Linked DNA regions of Styela clava. The protein of the gene in region 2 interacts with the protein of the main gene of each other region in a pairwise test. Links are inferred from orthologs where the notes say so. Each region holds a gene or a part of one and is shown on either strand. Other genes may lie near its edges. The genes, in order: rho GTPase-activating protein 26-like, fidgetin-like protein 1 and small ubiquitin-related modifier 2-A-like.

What was found.
Region 1: the proteins of fidgetin-like protein 1 (region 2) and rho GTPase-activating protein 26-like interact in a two-hybrid assay, tested with the Caenorhabditis elegans proteins (2 studies listed by BioGRID). The link is inferred for Styela clava from reciprocal best matches to the Caenorhabditis elegans genes figl-1 and T04C9.1.
Region 3: the proteins of fidgetin-like protein 1 (region 2) and small ubiquitin-related modifier 2-A-like interact in a two-hybrid assay, tested with the Caenorhabditis elegans proteins (3 studies listed by BioGRID). The link is inferred for Styela clava from reciprocal best matches to the Caenorhabditis elegans genes figl-1 and smo-1.

Annotation. Positions count from the first base shown.
Region 1 is NC_135260.1:17,983,304-17,990,635, reverse strand, and holds the start of rho GTPase-activating protein 26-like, read right to left. Parts: upstream 3,017-7,332; 5' UTR 2,935-3,016; coding exon 2,812-2,934; intron 2,307-2,811; coding exon 2,180-2,306; intron 1,767-2,179; coding exon 1,664-1,766; intron 1,369-1,663; coding exon 1,239-1,368; intron 697-1,238; coding exon 565-696; intron 390-564; coding exon 318-389; intron 1-317.
Region 2 is NC_135262.1:2,057,955-2,065,822, reverse strand, and holds the start of fidgetin-like protein 1, read left to right. Parts: upstream 1-4,780; 5' UTR 4,781-5,521; coding exon 5,522-5,732; intron 5,733-6,153; coding exon 6,154-6,564; intron 6,565-6,820; coding exon 6,821-6,922; intron 6,923-7,284; coding exon 7,285-7,409; intron 7,410-7,747; coding exon 7,748-7,868. UniProt on the Caenorhabditis elegans protein: Has a role in spindle assembly which acts in the progression through mitosis during embryogenesis. Required for fertility.
Region 3 is NC_135251.1:15,394,424-15,400,571, forward strand, and holds small ubiquitin-related modifier 2-A-like, read right to left. Parts: upstream 1,881-6,148; 5' UTR 1,742-1,880; coding exon 1,457-1,741; 3' UTR 564-1,456; downstream 1-563. Other genes in the region: mitochondrial ribosome-associated GTPase 2-like, read right to left, coding at 372-521. UniProt on the Caenorhabditis elegans protein: Ubiquitin-like protein which can be covalently attached to target lysines as a monomer. Does not seem to be involved in protein degradation and may function as an antagonist of ubiquitin in the degradation process.

The DNA.
Region 1 (7,332 bases), on a different chromosome or scaffold from region 2:
ACAGTGATTATATTGCAAATGCAACCTGTATAATATGTTCAATTCAGATACATCAAACTTCCAGAAAACTTTCATACAAAGCATACACTATACTTGTATTTTCTAATAAAACAAATAAAAATTCAAGAGCCTCCCATGTTTCACACAAGCATTATGTAATATTCAAGTCAAAAAGAATTTATATTACATGATTATTTTCTTCATGTATGAAATAGCAAAGATACACACACTGCATTATCACCCCCCTATAATGTATTAGCCAAAAATCTGTATTTCAATAGGAAAACAAGCAAGATATTATAGATTGTAAAACATACCTGAATATCATTCATATATTCCTTGCAATCGAAGGCAGTTTCGTGAGTTTGATGAAAAAAATTGAAGTAAACCTGAAAGTTGAAATCAGAATAAACTTGTCTGGAAAACTACTGTATATAAATAGAATCAATTCTTAGGTTACCGAATTAAATATCAGCTTGAATAGACAAATTCAGAAAAAAACTTAAAATAAAATCAAAATATGTCAGTGAAGACTACTTCTGATAATGGGCAAAGGGCACTTACCTGCATGAACATGAGTAAATGTTCAACAAATTCAAATTTTTTTCGTTCCTGAACTTCTTGCAATTTATAAACATAGTTGAGAGAGGAAGAGTGGAAATTTTTCTTTTGAATTCCAAGTTCATTGTCAGATTCCTACAATAAAAATTTAAACTTCAGTCCGATATATACAAATAAAAGTGAGTTTTTTAGATTGACTCACATCAAAAATATACTTTACATACAATGATAACACAGTGTGATTCAATATTGTCAAGTCAATACAAAGCTTTTCAATAGTTATTCGAGATGAATATGAAATTTGTTGAGTTGAATCATAAAAACAACATCCTAATTTATTATTTTTGTCAAGCTTTGTATTCTCTATGAGATAATTGGTGTTGTTCAACAACTTCCTGGCAATATTAAAACTGCAATCCTATCAAATTTGTGTACATTTCCATTGCACTTGCACATAATATTTTATCACTGGTTGAACTTTGAACTGCTTTATTATATCAGCTGCTGTTTAAATAAAATTGTTATATTTTCGACAAATATTTGAATATAATGAGAACCCCAACACAAAATCTAACATGACAGAATCAATTTAATTTAAATTGAAAATTTGTTTTAGAGCTTTTAATTTTTATTATAAGACTATAAAATTTTCATATCTAATTTTAAAAATGACTCACTGATAATAAATTTTCCTTTTTCTTGTGAGACAATCCCAATGTCTGTTCCATTTGTTTATAGTATCTTTCACTAGCTTTGTCAAAACCTTTTTTGGCGTCTCTATATCCATGGATATGTTCCTTTCGAAACCTGGGACAGGAATAAACAATTGTAACTTTCCCAAATAAGAAAAAAGGAAGTGATCTCACTAAACAGATTCGAAGTGGGTAAACGTTTCTCCTAAAATTATGAATAGAATCATTAGAATGACAGTGAATAGCTCAAATACATACAATTTCGTAAATTGAGACAAATTTTCTGATATGGAAAATGAATCCTCGCATGAATTTGAAAAGCTGTCCATAATGACTTATTTACATAGTGCAGAGCCTTATTCGAAGAAAATCAAATCACATGAAAGTAAAATACAAAGAAAATTGCTCACTTTTCAAGTGGTTGTATTAACTGTAATTCAGATCTTTCAATTGTTCTCGTCCATTCCTCCTCTATTTCCTCAAGCATCATTCCAAACTCTTTCAAAGAGCCAGCTGAAATGGAAAGTGAAAATTAGCTCAACTATAGGCCAAAAGTACATTAAAACTTATTCACCCAGTATAGACTTATGATCGTTCTTTGCAATTTGCAACACTCACCCATCCAACTATCATAATTATGATCCGAACTCAAACTGAAGCAAATTTTAAACTAAAGCGAAATCATCCCACATGCAGAAGAGTGCTTGATAAATTTTGGTGAAAATAATCGCTACATAAAGTATCATTAAAGTGATAGAACTTAAATAATAAACTCTGTGAATCATACTAGAGACAATATTAGTAGTATGATAATAGTTTATTCAAATATTTGATCAACCAGCGAATATAATGTGCAAAGAAATTCACACCTTAAGAATATAGTTATAGTCAATTGTATTAGTTTGTTTGAATTATAATCAACACACCAATTCCACGTTCCGTATCTGTCAAGTTTTCTCCAATGATTTCAAACTGAAATTTTTTCAGTCTTTCACTGAATGCCTGCATTGTTTCTCCTTGTTTACGTGAGGCCTGCAACATGGCCTTCGCATCCTGGAAAAGATTAATTTTAGCTTATTTAAATTTTAATTACCGGTAGTTAATAACTTGTAGTCGCATAAACTGGGGGAAGAATATTTGCTATATAATATTAGAAGTGCCAATATGTAGTGTACTAGGCTTGGGCATTGTGTACTGAACTGCAAGTCCTTTCTCCTTGTTTACTTTCTACTGCGGATCGGTATGTGTCAGTTGCCACAAGGATGCTCGAACAAGATAGTATATAAAGATAAATATGAATAACATAATTTCTTCCCACGAAATAGCAAGTTTATTTATGAGCTTTCGTTAGATCATGGTCTAACGAAGACTCATAAATAAACATACTGTTCCATGAAAAGAGATTAGGTTATTCATATGAAATATTAATTGACAAAATGTAAAATGACTCTGTTTTTATAAACAAATTTTTTGCACTATAGTATGTGCATTAATATACATATAAGTATCAACAGTGGAGTTATAGAAAAGGAGAGCTATCAAAAGAATTAAAATTCACCTTGATTAAAGACTTTATTTGTGAATTTGTCCTTTCCAATTCATCTTCGTATTCTTTTATGCTTTGACGAAACCAAGGAGAATCAAGAAAACATTCAGAAAATTCCAATGGATGAAGAACCATCTTGTTTTCCAAGATTTCAAAATCAGTTTTGCATTTATAAGTCTATTATTTTTAATCTGCAGAACTGTATATTCAATAATTGTTATGTTAGAAAGCTCAAAGACACAAACTCCAGGCCTATTACCGGCTCCCACATGAGATATCCAGACAATATATTTTGAATAAAATTCGGTATTGATTCGGTAATTTCACAGTATAATTATCTGAAATTGTTGCTTTGAATGCAGACTATCAAAGTTACTGCTTTCTTAATAAGAACATTTTGCCTGTATGTGCAGTATTTATTAAATAAAAAAAACAGAATAGACAGCATAGAGAAATTGCAAACAACAGGAGTTATTTAGATACAGATGACTAATTTCAATGTGCAAATTTGCTAAACAAAACCACAGCCCTTTGTGTACTTCCTTCCTATCTAACTTTATTCAATATATTTGAGCCCTAATAATGCAATATGATATACCACAAGAATTTCAGTGCTGGTGATCACCTATTAAAACGGTAAACAAAGTAAATACCGAAAAACAATGTCCTATGTTTGCAAACATTTACCTAATTGCTTACTTTTTATCAAATAAAAATATATCCTTCAAAATGTTCTCGAAAAATAGTCATAAAGAGTAATGAATCCAAACAATAGGACTACTCCCTTTTTTTCATATATTTATGTTGCACATGCATCAAAAACAATAATGGACAGAGATTAATAAAGTAGATGTAGACATTTCTAATTGATAATACTCAATCACTGCAAATTAAAGTTGTAAACATGACAGATTTGACAATGTGCATAATTAATATTTCTAAAATTAGTTTTTATTGGGAATTTATTGCTTATCTCCCGAATGAAATGTGAACATATTAATTGGTGATAACTATCTGTAACTTATATTTTGTTTGATATTTTCGAAATAGAAAAAGTAGATTAATTCAGACGAGAAAAATGTTCAACAACTTAGGAATACGCAGCATAACACAGGCCCACCGTATTTTGCTTGAACTTAATAATTCATTAAAATCACATTAACCTTGAAGTATGTCCTATTTAACTCTCTCTATTGCTGTAAGTATTTTTTTGAAAAATTATACATACAATTTGGCCACTATTATGTAATAAAAGTATGGAAAGCATCGAGGCTAAATTTATGGTTATCAACTTATCATGACTAAAGCATGAATTGACAAACAGCTCAACATAATTAATACTAGAAACAAGTCAAACATTCTCCAACAGCTGCAAAAGTGCCAATATCTTTACACCAATAATTTAACAACTCAAAAACAAGGAAACCATGCATGTCAGGATGATGCAGAAACAGACATTGTGTTTATCCTCAAGGGAGATAAAAAATTTTGAAACATTCAACACAGTTGTTAATAACAAGGAACATCCTGATGACTTACCGTAGTTGAACATTCAGGGATTTCAAAAGAACTCCAACTTTAATTATCGATAGTACATCCATATACGGTAAGTCATATTTTTAAAAACCTGCAAACTACCTCTAATTACACCTCATATAAAATCCTGTACAAATGGGCATATTTTTTAAGTTGTACGTATTCTCAATAAAAATTGGATGCTTGATTTGACTAACAACACAGCAAAAGATTTTTTGCAATTAAATCAGCCTAAATGCAATGCGGGGGAAATGTGACTCACAGTTTGATATCAGCGTAGCCCACATCTTGTTTTTTTAACATGAAACATTCATTTCATGATAACAAATTAAGCAACAGAATAACTATCCATAGCATAGCAAAACACTTGTGAATATCATACCGATAATTACCGGTGTTTTCTTCAACTTGTCATGAACCAATATAATATTTTTCATTGAAGCATATACTTGATTGTTGATTGTTTAAATAAGTCATTAGATTGAATATACATGAATACAAGTAGGGGAAGACTTGGCTAGAAAAATGACATCATAAAATCATGATATTGATCATAACTACTGAAGCCAATAAAAAATTTCTGATTACTTGGTCTATTCGGAAGTAACAAATAAAAAATTAGGTTCTCGTTTTGCCTATGTAATATGACGAAATCACTGCACACCAAAAAAAATTGGGCAAAAAAAATGGAATCTTCAGAAATTTATTTCCCACTCAATTTTAAGAAAGAAGGTTAAGGAAGTTTCATCATATTGCTATGACAATAAAACTTGGTTACTTGAAGAGACATTCAATAGTTATATTGGCGCAATAAGTTTCAGACTTTTCTCAAATTTATTACAGTAATTTATTTAAAATTGAATCAAATGACCTCCACTATGCAAAAAATAGCAGGTCAAAAGCAATGAAACATAGCAGTACAGACAGCCGTGCATCTGATGCCTCTAGAAGTGACAAGTTTGCATTTTAGCAACTAATTAACATTTCATGTATTAATTAACACCATTCCTCTTTGTCAAAAATAATATATAACACTAGACACTAGGCGCGATTCCAAAGCAATTGATCACAAACAATAAACTTTACCAAACTAAAATTGGTCTTTTCAAATTTGAAATTCATGTAATTATGCATGATATATTTATTGAAGCAAGAATTCAAAATTCAATTATGTTTATCAACCAAATTCATATAAACATGTGAGGACTCAACAATTAACTAATATTGTTCTGTAGCAAGTCAGATTAAGTACAACAAATTCAAATTGAAGCCATAATAGTCAGGCAAAATTTGTCATATTATTAAACATATATTTTAAAATTTTCCATTCCTAAAGCATGAATCATAATTTAAGATGAGCTTTCAAAATATTTGTCCAATTAGAGAATGTTATTTTTACAGTATTGTGTATGAGAGTAATCCAAAGAGCATGAACTAAACCAGGACGGTCCAAATCCAGGGCCATTATCATCCCAGGCCTTATTATCTGTGGCCTGTGTGCTAGTAGAGGTAACAATTAGTGATATAGCGTAACCAAAAAATCGCACTTGGTATTGTTTTGTGATAAAAATAACCAAAAAAGATCTTCTGAAATAGTGTTACATCACTAACATTTATATTGTTACCTAGCTCAAGTCGGTTCTTAAATTTTGACAGCCTTAAATGACTTCAAACTTCCACAAATTGATTCTATTATTTCCTTTGGGATATCCGCTGAAAATATCTCAACAAGCTTCGTAGACAACTAAAAATCAAATGAGATTCTATTATCCCAGGTTGGCTATGCCTACTAATACCCTCCCTGGCCCTCCCTTTTATATATAACCAGCTTAAATCATTAAGACAAAAATTGCTACATGTATGTCAGGGAATTTAATAAATATCGCCACGATACCTCCTGTGCCTCGTAAAAAATAATATAATCTAAAACATAGATAATATTGGGAGCAATGAGCAGTTTCCAAAGTTAAAGAATTTAGCCTTTAGAATGTTATCGACAAAGCACTTTCTCCATAATGAAGAGACTGAAATATAATGCACGGAACAGGTTTGAAGATGAAACAATGAATATCTGGACACAAATTAGTATTATTAAATCGTTTGCATTACTACCTGTACTGTCTTCCTCATGAAAAAACTCCTCACTTCGCTGATAATCTGATCGCTGAAATCCGACCGGGGACCGCCAAACAGTGCACAATTTTTTGTTTTAATGGAGTCGTCAGGATAGAAAAATTAAAAGGAAATCATAAAAATCCAGACAATAACATAGAGAGAGGTTATATAAATAACATAAAAAGATTTTGTTAATAAGATTTGAAATCTTTATAACAATGTCCAAAAATGGCAAAATAACAAACTTAAAAAGACAATAATAGATGCAGGCAGATTCAAGGTTGCTGACATACATATATAACCAAAAGAGAAAATATAACCTTAATAGTCATATAGGATTCTATTTTTAAAAACTTAGATTTGTTTGATAACCTTATATTGAATCTAAAGTAAAGACTGAATCAAAACTTCAAATATGGTGCAATTTTGCCAACAGTCGAAGTTCATACACCAATTTAAATATTGTGATATTGGGGCTCAAAACAGCAGTTCTCCCCTCCAATAGGATCAGAAATGACACTATAGTTTAAACCAATATGTCAGTATCTGTGCTGAATTCGAAAATTCAAATCAATACAAATTGACAAACCACTACCTAAACTGTGAACTCACTAGTTTGATGCTGCAGGATATTTTAACAAAAACTATCAAACATTAGAAAGTTTAATATTTTTGCGTTTAGTTCAGATTAAAAATAAACAAGCATAATTATAACAGCAGCAAGTTAAACCTGATTCGACTCCCAGTCACAACACAGCTCAATGATGAACATGAACCATACATGTACAGTTTACTAACTGCATCTTCCATCAACCATCCAGACTTAGCCTAGCCTAATACAATATTGTGTTTCATATTGTACGTCACTATCTTCCTGTTCCT
Region 2 (7,868 bases):
GAGACACGAAAAATAATCCGGGCGTAAATACTTGACTGTGAATGTGGAGTTTCAACATGGAGTGTAATTTCTACTATATCTGTACAAGGGACTAGCGAGAATTGTAGAACACAACAAACAAACAAGCGGTGCGCAATATGAGATAAAATTTACTTGATTACAAATGCACTCAACTAATAGTCTACCGGACGATAAACAACAATAATAAAAACAGCATAAAAGTAAACAACAACAAACCAAGTAAAATATGACAAGAGCATTCCACGCCCTGGCGTTCCAACTTTAGTTTTAATCAAAATTCATGTGGTTTGTGTAAGTAGGCTAGTCTTTTTTGTGGAATTCATCATTAAATATCCGTTACATTTGACGTTTGACTGTTCGTGTTATTCCCAGCTTCGTTCTCCATGATAAACTCCACGCAGGCAGCATGATCTGATGTGAACTGATCCTTATCGTTTCGGTACTATATCCAACAGCATCGTTTTGATTTAAGTTTGTATGGATCTTCTCAGTAGGGTTTATATTCGTCCGGCTTTCCAAGTTTTCGTCCAAATATTTCTTACTCCAGTAGCTATTCCACCGTCGATATTTCACGTCCGCACCCGACGGCGGTCTGATCAGTCTCTGATACTGACTTACACAATTTTATGTTTAAATATTTCACCGCACTGTGTTTCAATAAAAATCTGTAACATTGTCTTTTCTTTTAACATTGTTTTTGGAACTAAAACTCCCTCTCTCTCACTAGTCGTAATAGAAGAGACTTTCCCTAAATCTGGCAACACTGAATTTACATATTTGCAGCGGTTCCGGGAGCAGCGCGAGGTCGGCGCGGCGTTGTTTGTGAGTTCCGAGCTTCTTTCAGTCTTTTAGTGTTAGTGATTAATCCAAAAGGAATATGTATAGGGGATTTGAATATGATTATATGGCTTATGGTCCTCCACCTCCCAGGAGACGAAGAATGCCGCCACCCCGCGCGATGAATGGCTATGGAGGTGGGTACAGTGGTTATAGAGGAGATCATGGCGCGGCCTCCCTGATGAATGATTTAGAAGCGGCTGCGTATCTTCATGAATACGAAGCAGTACTAGCAGAAGAATATGCAATGGGACTTGAAAATCCATACGGTGGAGGATGGGACCGTTATCATGAAGAACCTGTGTCAATGCACCCTCCTCAAAGAAGAAGATTTCCTCCAGCTCCGAGACAGCCAGGACCTGCAAGAGGCAGAGGAGGAATAACAAACAGAGTGTCATCATATGGGGCTGATTTAGTTAATAGACAAATTATGAAAGCGCAAGAACGATTTTTGTGCCCCCAAACGAAATCAAAACCAACAATTACAAAGGATAATGAAACGACAGCCTCAACATCAACTCAGAATGAAGAAAATAACAATAATACTGGCGATAAAAAGTCTGCGGAGAATGCAGTAACGACTCCTGTAGTGCCATTAAAGTCAAAAATTACAGCCAAACAACAGTGGGAGACAAGTTATGTTGAAACCATGAAAGAAGAGTCGTTGAGACCCAAACCCGCGTCGGTTATACCATCTCCGGCAAAGAAAAACATAGAGCCGACACCAATACCTGCTCTAATGGACCAACCCCAGGTATCTGGGCTTCAGAAATCTTCCAGCAAGAAACGAAAAAACGATTGGTTCAGACGTGGTCCGTATTTTCGACGGAAGAAAAAGAAAACCTCAGAATCTGAAGGAGCGGCTCAAGAACCAGGATTTGGATTTGACGTTAACGGAACGAATGAGGGGTCAAAGGTTACAGGAAGTGAAGAGGGAACTATCTACCCTAAAACTTGTAAGGTATGTAATGTTAAACTCTATCAACCATCACAAGCCGATGACCATTACAAAAGTGAAATTCATGCAAAGAACGTCAACAATTTTTTGAGTGGGGAGGACACAAAAAAGATCGAGAGAAAGATAAATAAAATTACCGAAAACCTCCCCACACCTATAAATACTCCAGAGTGCCTCGTGTGGGAGAAAGACACAGGTGATCGCACACAAAACACTGTCAGATTCTGCCGCTTATGCTCAGTCGAAATGTCATCTTTACCAACGGCAAAACAGCATTACGCAGGAAAAGCTCACGCTAAGAGAATTAGGATCGTTCAACGAGGGAATCGACCTTATAGAAAACCTTTTAAACCGACTCATTTTGTCAGCGGCGGAGTTTTAGGAATTCAAGAAAAGCCCATCGAACCAGCTTATAGCTATAACCCAGCAGCTCACTTGGCGTTCACACAGCCTGATTCACAAATCGCGAATTCGAGCATAAATTTTAAACCATCTCTGCCTGGTGATTTTGCAAATAGTATGACACCTAGTGGACAATATTACTGCCAAACATGCAACATTGTTATTGAGCACGCAGGCAGTCTAAGCACTCATCTACAATCAAAACAACATAAATTAGCAAAAGCGAGGAGCTAACTGTGTTTAAATAATTAACTTTTTAGTCAATAAACTGGAAACTCTTTGGTGCCTTCCAAATTAGTCTTTAACTCAGGAAGCAATGAAGCATCAATGCCGCTAGATCCGTGGTTCTTAACCTTTTTTCTTCTGTGGCCCATTCTTTTTCATGCAAGGGGAAAACTACAAGACAAGCGAAAACTATTACTGCAAATATAGACACTTTCACTATAATATTCAGAATGTAAATTCCCCTGCAGTAACAAAAAACAGTATTATCGTTCATTCACTACAGTCAAAATTAACTATAGTTACACAGATGAAACCGAATTTTTCAATAATTTAAAATAGGTTTGTGGCACAGTAGTGATTTGCCAGTTGATTCTGTCGGTGAACACTTCATTGATTTTTACCCAGGAAGCAATGAAGCGTGTTTGCTGCCAGTTCAACTTCCTTTTCACAAGTCAAGATAAGTTTTATATAGTGCCGCCATTTCGTACTCTATTACATTGAATTCTTAATGTTGATTCTGTCGGTTTACACTTCATTGATTTCTACTCGGGAAGCAATGAAGCGTGTATGCTGCCAGTCCAACTTCATTTTTCAAGATTTTGGGTATTCATACTTTAATACACTGATTTCCTACATGTTAGTTTATGAGTTGACTTTGCCAGTCCACGTTTCTTTGATTCTCCTGTGCTAAGTTATTTCTGCCAATTTATGCTTCATTGATTTTCACGTGTGATGATATATTCTTGTTGATTCTGCCAGTTCATGCTTCATTGGTTACTGCATGTCTATTTATTTCTGCAAATCAATGCTCCATCGCCTTTTACTAGATGGGATATATTCTAGCATTATCTATAAGCCAACGCTTTTGAAATCCCATATGTTATACCAATCTCGTCTCATTTTGAAAAATTTTGTGTTGTTCATAACTTCATAGAATATTCATATTACTGTTTTTCAATAGTATGGTTATTTTAATGAAGAAGAAAAATTATTTTTGATAATAACTTGTGCATTCAAGAGTATTTCAAGTTCTGGTGAATTCAATACTGATGAAGAAATTGTTACTTTCGTTTTGCTTTATTGTATGTGCCACGCAGCCCACGCTATAGTATAGGATTATTTTTTTCATCACAGCTCACTTTCTGCCAATTTTTTTCATTACCATCAAGGAACTATACTAAAAATGAAGTAAAATTTAATAATTCAGAAAATATTTTTTTCAAAAAACTGATAATATCTTTAATGAGACCGATGTGCATGCATATTCTCGCACAAAAGATGGAATCTTGATAGTATTCTGGTCTCAGTACTGTTTTCAAATTTGATCAATATTTTGCATTAACATGAGAATTGTAGAAAAAGATTTTACCGCGACCCCCATTTTGCAACCCACGGGTGGGGTCGGGACGCAGAGTTTGAAAAATCTTGATATAGAATATGGATTATTTACTGCACGCTTGGTAATTCAGCTGAATTCTCTGCATTTGACTGACAGGGGTAACTAAAGCCGAAAAAGTTAATATTCAAATTAATTACAGTTATTAATTTCATAGCTATTATTACCATTCATCCATTTCCCTGAGGATTTGAGTGTATGTCCACATTTATTCGTTTTTCTCTGTTTGTGCAGTTAGTTATCTTTGTTCTTTTCAATGTGTATCTGTTCACCTTGGAATGCTTAAAACATTCAATGCATTAAGATTGCTATTTCATCATTTGGTTTTTCATTAAGAAATTGATAGAATCCATTTTTGTTTCACTGCTCCAGGCCCTAGCTCCATGGTACTCGGTACTAGAAGCCATTGAAATGTAATACATACAGTAGAATCTCGTAAGTTGCTATTTAAAATCATTTCCATTGAGTATTTTAGGAATGCCTAAAAACCTACTTCGTCAGGTGTCTTTCATTGTGTTTGAAGAAACCTTCTCTAGCCGTGATTCCAGTTCCAGTGAAATATCAAAAGCTCCAGGTTCTCAGTCCTTTGTTAGAAGCCATTGAAATGTAATTTGCTTTTAAAAGCAATAATTTTTTTTGTCAAATATAATCAATTTCAAATGTATTTGTTGCTTTTTCCCTGGGCACATTTCCACCCTTGGCACTGTTCTTTATTTATGAGTGATTAAATTATGTTGACTAAAAATTGCTGTAAATTTGTGATTTCATGTATTTCTTCTCATTATTTAACTGTATATATTTCTTTTTAAGCTATTACAGTCATAGGGCTTAGGAGCTTATTAGCTAGAGATTTAATTTAACATAGAAAATAAAATTTTGGTGGAGACTGTCGAACAAATTGTTGAAGAATTTAACACACAGGCTCGGGACTTTGTTGTCAACTATTGGAAATGTTGGAATCTTATTAGATCAGTGATTTTTAAACAGTCGAACAGGCCCTGCGAGTGGGGGGTAGACAATTTTTTGAGGGTGTGAAGCTAATAAAAAAAAATTATTAAATTTGATCTTGCCAGCCTTAATTTGGATATTTACATTTCTTTATTGTTTATTAAAGCAGGGTCGTCCAACCTGTGGCGGAAGATTTCCAAGTGGCCCGCGTGGTATTATTCAAATCCCAATGTCTTTTACGAATCTGAGCCAATATTGAAACCTTTAATAAAAAAAATTGTTTATCGTCGTTCAAACGCGCGAAAAGCACCACCCAGCTATCGAAAGCCTTTTTATGTCCCTATGTGGGCCTTGTTGCTGGATAGAGATGTCTGAATTTATTTTTATCGTCTACAATGTATTTCAATTTGTTTTCGTGTCTTTTTTTCTGTGAAGCCCAGAAAACGCATTTGTGTTTTCAACTTGTAGTCAGTATAGTGAAAACTAGAACATAACTGCCATGTCAAGTGGCCCGCGCAATCATTCGTAAACTAAATGTGGCCCTTCGGCAAAAAAGGTTGAACAACCCTGGTTTAGAGATTGCGATGCTATCCACGTATTTTCAACATGTTTTTTGAATAAAACATATTTTCACCTTACTATTTGTTAGCTAGTTATTTTTGAGGTGGGGCACAAAACTTGACCAATTCTAAAAAGGGCGTAAAAAGTTTGAGAACCACTGTATTAAATTGACAATGGCAAAAGCTGATAATCCAAACTACTCCGCCTGGAGATCACGGGAAATCAAATTAAATGAAGAAAATATCACACCGTGGGAGGCAGCTGAATTACGAAGGGACAATATAAACCAACTGTGTTTTGAACTTGATTCTGAGGAATTAGAATTAGATTTATTCTCAGATCTGTTTCGGAAGGAATTAAATGAATATTCAACTATTGTAGATGGTGAGTGGTGTGCGTTTAGGGAGATATAAAATAATATAGGGTCTACATGAAGTCTTACAATTTTCAAAATTATGAGGGGATTTTATCGATACCATATTTGTCTTGGCCCTCACAGATGTATTATATGAAGTAAAAATACTTAAACAATTACTAATTAAAAACAACGAACCTGGTTAAGATATATTGAGATCTGGCTTCATAACAAAATTGAAATTGTAAAAGGACTTTATGGACACCTTGTATGTATAAATTTGAAATAGAAATATTCTTGATTATTCCTAAAATTGGAAATTTTTGATTTGACATAGTCCAAGTTATCTTATTGTAATTTGGTGAACACAATAATGTTTGTCATCTGACCATATTTCTTCTCCTCTAATGTATAACCTAAAATTTCTACATATTTTCTTTATTATTCCAGGTGAAGACAGCACTAAATCATTTCAAGAGACAGTGAAAACTTTAGTCCCAGATTATAAGAAAAACTTTGAGAAATTCCAATCAGGACTTACGACTTCAAAACTACTTGAATTAAAAAATGTCAAAACTGCCTTTGAGCAGTGTAGGCTCCTATCAGAGCCTGAAAACAATGAAATTAGGAAAAATGAACATGTTATAGTCCCAGTTGGGTCGAAATCGGGTAAAAATGGTCCAAATTTGACCTCGAATTCAAAAGAAAGGCTAAAATCTTTTAATATTTATCAAAAAGTCCCGAAAGATGGAAAAATTACAGAAAATGAAAATAAACGAGGGTTTTTTGAAGAAACTTTGAGAAAAAGTAAAAGGAAATGTGTTGTTCCGGACGACAATATTGAAGTTGGAGACAACGAAGGTAATTATTTTTGCTGTAGCTACTTGCAATCAATCAAAGGTCAATTGACTTGTTGCTCTGATGTTTATAAGCCAATATTATTAGAAATAATTGTATATACTTTTTCAAGTTTTTAATTCAAAAATGAAAATTTAGTCATTCCTGCGGTTTTGTGTCTCTAACCTGAACCTGGGATCTACAAAATAGCAGCCTTGCCAGATATCTCAATGTTATCCAAACTAATTTTTTAACCTTTTTTATCATTATAAAATGGTAGGTTTATTCTCTGGAGTCGAACCCGAGCGTAAATTTCATTTCAAATCAGCGAAAGAGCAATATGAGATTGATAAGAAGAAAGGAAAACATACATCTCCACAAGGTAGATGATTATAGATGGGAATGTTTTGATAGAACTATTGAATTTCCGCTATAGGAGACCCTTAGTCTCTGTCGTTTTTTTCTGTCTGTGTATGTGTCGAAGCTGTAGCGTCTAAACGGCTAAACCAATCTGTTAATATTTCTGACGTGGGTCATCCTTCCACCCTAGTAATGTGTGTTTCATTGAAAGTCCGGAGTGAAGTTTCGTTTCCATGGCAACAGCAAAAAATTGCACAGATCTCATTATGCTTATTCATAGATAATGTAGGAAAACACAGTGTATAGCGATAGTAACTCTTCGGGCACCTTGCCTAAAGCCTGGTTTAGAGAGCCTAAAAAAACAGATGATTATTTCTCTTGCAGGTACCTCAAACAACAACATTCCTGCAGGGAAGAAATCACTTGGTGCTCGACCTCGTAATAATTGTTTTGGGAAGTTTGTTCCACCGAGCTCAAAAGATCAGAGAGAACAGAATGAAAGAGATTGTGTAAGTTGTGTTTATTTGTAGAGAGTATAATGAATAGGATTTGTAATACAAACGAGATAGGTGAGTCTGTGAAGTTTGATATTTGTGTTAGCCGCAACAGCCACGACCCGTCCCGCCAAGTCTATTAGTGTGTCCCTTGTCAACACTCGAGTCTTTTCCCCATCAAGCATAAAATTTGAAGCTATAGCTGTATTCTCTTCTCTTGCCGTTGTTTATTATGGCGTTATAGTTCTTTTCTTATATATTTTTAAATCTATAAAAGTGATTTTATAAATAGAAACTTCAAAAGTGGGGTTAATGATCCTTTTTATTAAATTTTTTCGTTTCTAATTTCTCAGTCTCTTCTTCGGAAATGTGGACAAAAAACTGGCAACAATGAGATGGACATAGATGAGATTGATCCAAGATTGAAAGGTCTGGATCCCAAGATAATAGAACTCGTAACAAATGAGATTATGG
Region 3 (6,148 bases), on a different chromosome or scaffold from region 2:
AATTAATAAATGCATAACTTCAGTACTGATTGGCAAACTTCACATCGTTACATTTTACTCAATGTGCATTTTAACTGGTAGCAAGCAAACCATTCAAACTTAATGCAGTGATGTTATTCATGGCATAAGTGCCATCTAAAACTTTGGTCACAATGCGGATAGTAATATACCACATTAAACTAATTTATTTAAATTCGTAAAAAGCTAAAATCACTTCAGTCATTCTCTAAGTCAACCAAAAAAGGGTTTATTAAACTGTATCATTCAGATAGAAACAACTTGGAAAAAACTTTTGATTTGACACACTGGCATTCTATGAATCAAATATAAGGAACAGCCAATCACTACCTAAGGAATCGGCTATATCTTACCAATTCTTCTTCCGTTCTATATGGCTTGCCAGTGATAATTTTTTTCTTACGAGAATATTGAGATGAAATAGAGAAAGTATTGCAAATAAATGTGAAATGGCATGACTTGTTACAAAAAAGACTAATTATTCTATGTGATATACAAAGCATTTAGCAGTTATATCATGCTATATATAGTGATTTTAATCTAAATTTACTAAAATATGACAGACAGACATTATTTTATAAACAATGAACAGAAAATGGAAATAGAATAAATGACAAAATGAAACATCTTCGAATCAATGCAGTTTTATTCTTCAGCACAAGGAATATTTCATTACCAAATAATAGCAGTTGTTGAATCGACTGATTTCAGGATTTCAAGGTTTATTTGCTTATAATAATGTGTGTCACTTGATAATAAAAACTCAACCAAAACACCATATTTCTATGATATTGTAACAGGACTACTTAAAAGAAACATACTAACATAGCCTAGAAAGAAAAACTTGATACCACAATTCAGCAATTTTAAAAAGGTCTAAATTGGAAACAAATATCAAAATAAATGGGAATACTATTTTCATTTTTGTAAAAATATGATTGAACAGAACAATTCAGCAATTAATGTAAACATAGAATTATAACAACTTTACATTACTCTGCTTTCCAGTTGTTCATAATGATTATTTTTCAAAGCCTTATTCAGTGTCAGCCAAATAATATGTTATATTATGTTTAACTCATATTCAACATTACTAGTACCTGGGTATTTGGTTGTAATGTCATATCTACTGTATCTGACAATAGAATACAATAATTAGCCAACATATCGAAATATTATGCGTATGCGGTATCATATTCTAATATATCATAGTCTCATCTGAATACCGAAATAGCCATTTGATAGATCACAAAACAGACAACTGGACAAGAGAGTATTCCATTTGTCCATGGCATTTTTGAGCAGTTTGTCAGTAAATTACCATTAAATCTCAGTCTCGGTGGGAACCACCATCATTTGATGGTCTATAAAGGCAGAAAGGTAAGATAATCATCATACTCTCAGTATAAACATTCCAGACAAGCTGCTTGGAAAATATTTACAGGTTTCCACCAGTTTGCTGAGTGAAAACATCTATTGTATCATCGTCCTCCATTTCAAGCTTTTCTGGGGTGTCCTCGAGCGAAATAGCCGTCCCGTCAAAACGAAACCGCATGGCTTCTATTTGAACTCCTTGCCGATCACAATATGCAGTAATCAGTTTTTTCATTGGCGTGCGACGTTTAATCTTGAATTGAATTACCGAGCCATCTTGTCCTGACACCTTTAGGTTTATATGTTGATCGCCGTCAGGCTTAACATCCTTAGGTTTTGCATCAGCCATCACAAGCCTGAACAATTCACACAACTTCTGTATTTCGTTAACAGTAAAGTCAAGCTGAATTGAGCCGCAGCGCAACAACAACCATCACAAAGCGTGGACGACGGCGCGGAATTAGTGCGCCATCTTCCGGGGCAGAATATTGATTACAAAAACTTGACTTGAAGTGTACCAATGGATAGTTTTGTTGGTATGTTGTTGTTCTCGTTAGCCTTTTCTTAGGTTACCGGCAAATGCTGGTTTGACGACTATCAATCAATCAATCAATACAACAGAACCACAAAAGGAGAAAAAATTGCAGGGGTCCCGGAAACATACACGATATAAAATTAGGCAATAACTTTTAAATACAAAACAATGAAAATTTCAGCAAACAGTGCGGGTCGAACTCGAAACGATGCATTGGTCGACTTCACGTTCAGTAAAATGCAAAACAATGAGAATTTCAGCGGACTGTGCGAGTCGAAACAACCCACGAGTTCACTTCAGCAAAATGCAAACGAGCAAAACAAAGTAAAATTGAGTGCTTTTTGTGCTTAGACCCAATTATCCCATCCAGTGGTTTTTGGAAGAGTATACCATATTAAACTTGCACAAATGCCCAATAGTTTCACTTTATAAATACTGGGTTCCAATATTAAGATAACAACGAAATAAAGTAACTTCCTCTAATTTTAACAGAGAGGAGAGTGTACATAAGCCATGTCAAAGAACGGGAAATGGAGATTCTCGATCACATATACAGGAGCATATAAACTTGTTCAATTCATCATATCTATCAGTGCAATGATAATGACGTTCATAATGATGATAAAAATTTGCACAGTTTTGAACAGGATTCCAGAATATGGCGGAAAAACAATTATTGCCGAATGAAGTGTGACCGAATATGTAAATTCTCATTTTATTATAAGACAAAAGCAAACTATACGTGCATTATTAACAGTGGCAGTTGCTGATAAATGCATATACACGGGATATATAATTAGAAGATTTACAGTATTATATACTAAATAAATATTAAAAATAAAAATGAGAAATTATTCGAACCAGCGACACGAACATATGATGGCATAGATTGTGGTTATACTATCACATGTGGAGTGATATTTTGCTAACAGTTTGTTTGCTGTTATCTTAGAGAAAGGCTTTTAACTCCGAATGTTGTTTTCTTGAATTGCATTTTACGACTTGTTTGTAAATTTATCTTATGCCGGCAGACGTCACTGATAAAGGTGGAAGTAGGGGTAAGCCTAGCAGACAATACAACTAAATTATGAACGCGTTATTGTAGATGTAGAGAGAGAGAGTGGGAAAGAAAGTTCATTTAATTTGTCAAAGCAAAAACACACGATTTATGCGGTGTCTTCAAAATGTCGTGTTCCACTTGTCTTACGTGTCCGACTCGTCCCACGTGTTCTACATTCAATCGTTAAATTTATCAAACCAAATAACTAGATGTCCATGTGATTCATTTGTTCGGTAAATTTTGTAATAATGATATTATTACTGTATACATAGTAAAACAATTAAGCAATGCTCGAATATATGAACACGGTGATTGCGCATAGGCATCGCTATGGCACACCGAGTTTGGTGAATAGATCGAAATGTTCCGAGAATGAAGCGATTCAACTTGGGCATCAGAGTCAGATGCCCCCTCGGGATTTAAGGACCTCGACAATAAATAATGATGTTTCATGAGTATTTTTTATTTGTGTCTTATTTTATTTGATAATTTTTTTATTGATATTTAAAGCACAGTTGACACAGTACAGTTACAGCATTATTGATCACTAATCATAAAATATACACATCCATAAACATATAAAGGGTGGGCATCAGTGATGAGCTGGAAAAATCGTAACAACCGGAACGCACCTAATTCACAAAAATGTAATATATTCCGAACACGACGCGGACGTTTACAGAACTGCAAATAAATTATATATATGAAATATGTTTGTGTGAAATTATTGAAGTATTCATAGCAATTCAATACAAACCTCATTAGGAAGGTATAGAATGAATTTTCACGGGGTGAAAGGTCGGGGGAACTTATACAACCGGAATGTCGTTCCGGCCACAGCTCACCACTGGTGGGCATTGGGTAACCTTTTTTGATTTGCGTGCCAAAATTGACTAAATAAAATGGCAAAATTCCTCCGCTCGGCAATGAATTTGTGAAAATGTATTAAATCAAATATGAATTTATTCTTTTTAAAAACAATGCTTTGCTACTTTCAAAGCAAAACCTGCAGGATAATAAACCTTTTAAACAGGTATTAAATTACATTTCAAGAAAATATTAGTCCGACAAAAATATTTTTATCAATTTTCTTTTGCTATTTCAGTGAGACTTCTGCTACTGTATTATCGTTGACATAAATTTTATATCAGGTTTATATTTTGGGTGCTCCCGAAGTATGCGAACCAAGATGGCGGACATCGGAACGTAACATGGGTAACAGGTTAGGGTTAGGCGATAATTTTTTTCCAATTTTCCTTATGTTAGTCCTATTATCAGTTCGAAGACTAGCCAAGAGCCTCTCGTAGTATTTATACCTAAAATTATGGCCTAACCCTAACCTAGTACAAATATTACATTCCGATGTCCACCATCTTGGTTCGCATACTTCGGGAGCCCCATATTTTGTAACCTTCAACGAAATACACAAACTAATACCTTCATCAGTCAGGTACTTCTTTTACGATACTTAAAAAAAGTTCATCACTGAGAACAGTAATTCACTTCCATATGCGGATGTAGATAATAAATAAGCAAGCCAAACTAGCACGCGATCTACAACTTCCTACAATATATTTCTTTGTAACGTGAAAAACGTCGTGAGAAAAGAATACATACACAGCAAAACGAAAAGAGCCAACTTGTTGCTTAATCCTTAGCACTACTAAGCCCTAGAACGGGATAAAGTACAGGTAAAGGTAGTCCAACCAAAATATCGATTACAAAATGCTGACAATTCACGATCTTAGGAAATAGGATTCCGTGTATCCGCGATATATGAAAAACTCGACGATTTGTGGCAGAGATTCCCTGTATTCGAAAATCCCTGACATTTAACATTTCTCCCTGGCGCAAATTTGACTACTGAAATCCCGGACATGTCAGGGAAAAATATAGCATATGGCAACCCTAGTTTAAGTAAAGAACGGATTGTTAACAAACGAAGATAAAACAAAAACATTAAGTTTCATCAGATAATACGACATTTATCTAAAGATGGCGCGGTGGTGTGGCTCATCGTGCTAAGCGTTAGGAATACGCCCGCTACCGCACCTCTGAAAACGTATGTTCGCAGGTCCGAATATCATGCGGGGATAGTAATATCATAGTTAACGGAATATTCAGTTAATAGGTAATGTGCAAGAGCATTGCTGGACTCCACGTCGCCGTAGAATGATTCACGTAACCGCTAGTCGGGTATACGGCTTTCTCCACCATCAAGTCCATGCTTCCGAAAACATACAAGAGAGCTGTGCTCAAATATATGGATACGTCACAAGGTGTCGCTATTTTATTCTGACATGAAAAAACGAATCTCTTGAAGTCCACAAAATTTTTGAAATAAGTAAAAACAATAGCCTTTTGACAAAAAAAAACAATCTTTAACCGCTGAAAATTTAGAAGCAATTGGTATAGTATTCGTAGAGAACAGCGATTTCATCATGACGAAAGAGAAAACTAACAAGAACAACAGCATAATATTGAAACGATCGTTATGTACACTGACGTGTCCAATTGTAAGGTCCAATAACTAACTAGTCCCATACCCGACATGGAATGGTAACTGGAGGGGCCATGGTTCGCTATATTATGTTTAAGCTGTCTTATCGGCTTTTCTCACCCCCAGGATAAGTATTCAAATCTTATCTAAGGGAGGACCACGTTTCCAAGAACACGCTCGCGTGCCAGATGGCTGTGCTTGGGTGCCAGGCTTGGAATGCGTGCCTCTAGTTGTATCGAGTAGGGATTTTTGTTTATTTTAGAGATAATATATCTCACACGGATTGAGAAATAAGGATACAGAATCACTCTGGAAACGTAGGTAAATATAGATCTACATTGTTCCTAATCATCAGTGCGCTGGTCTAATAATCTGTAGTCCAGTGCAAACTAAGGTGTTACACACACAAAATGCGTAATGTAAATTTAATTATAATTTGTGTTCATTGGATTCCGTTTTACAGTTGAGTTACTGGTTTACGGATAGTCAGATAATGTTATTTTGTCTTCAAGATATACTTTCCATTTTTGCGTTATGCTATGGCATTATGTCAATCAATTGATGATATTGAAGTTTTATATTTTTGGTTACTTTCTTTCATTTATCATTAACTTCGGACAGATATGTGGTGAAAACATTGCACTGAGGTTTAGAAACAAAT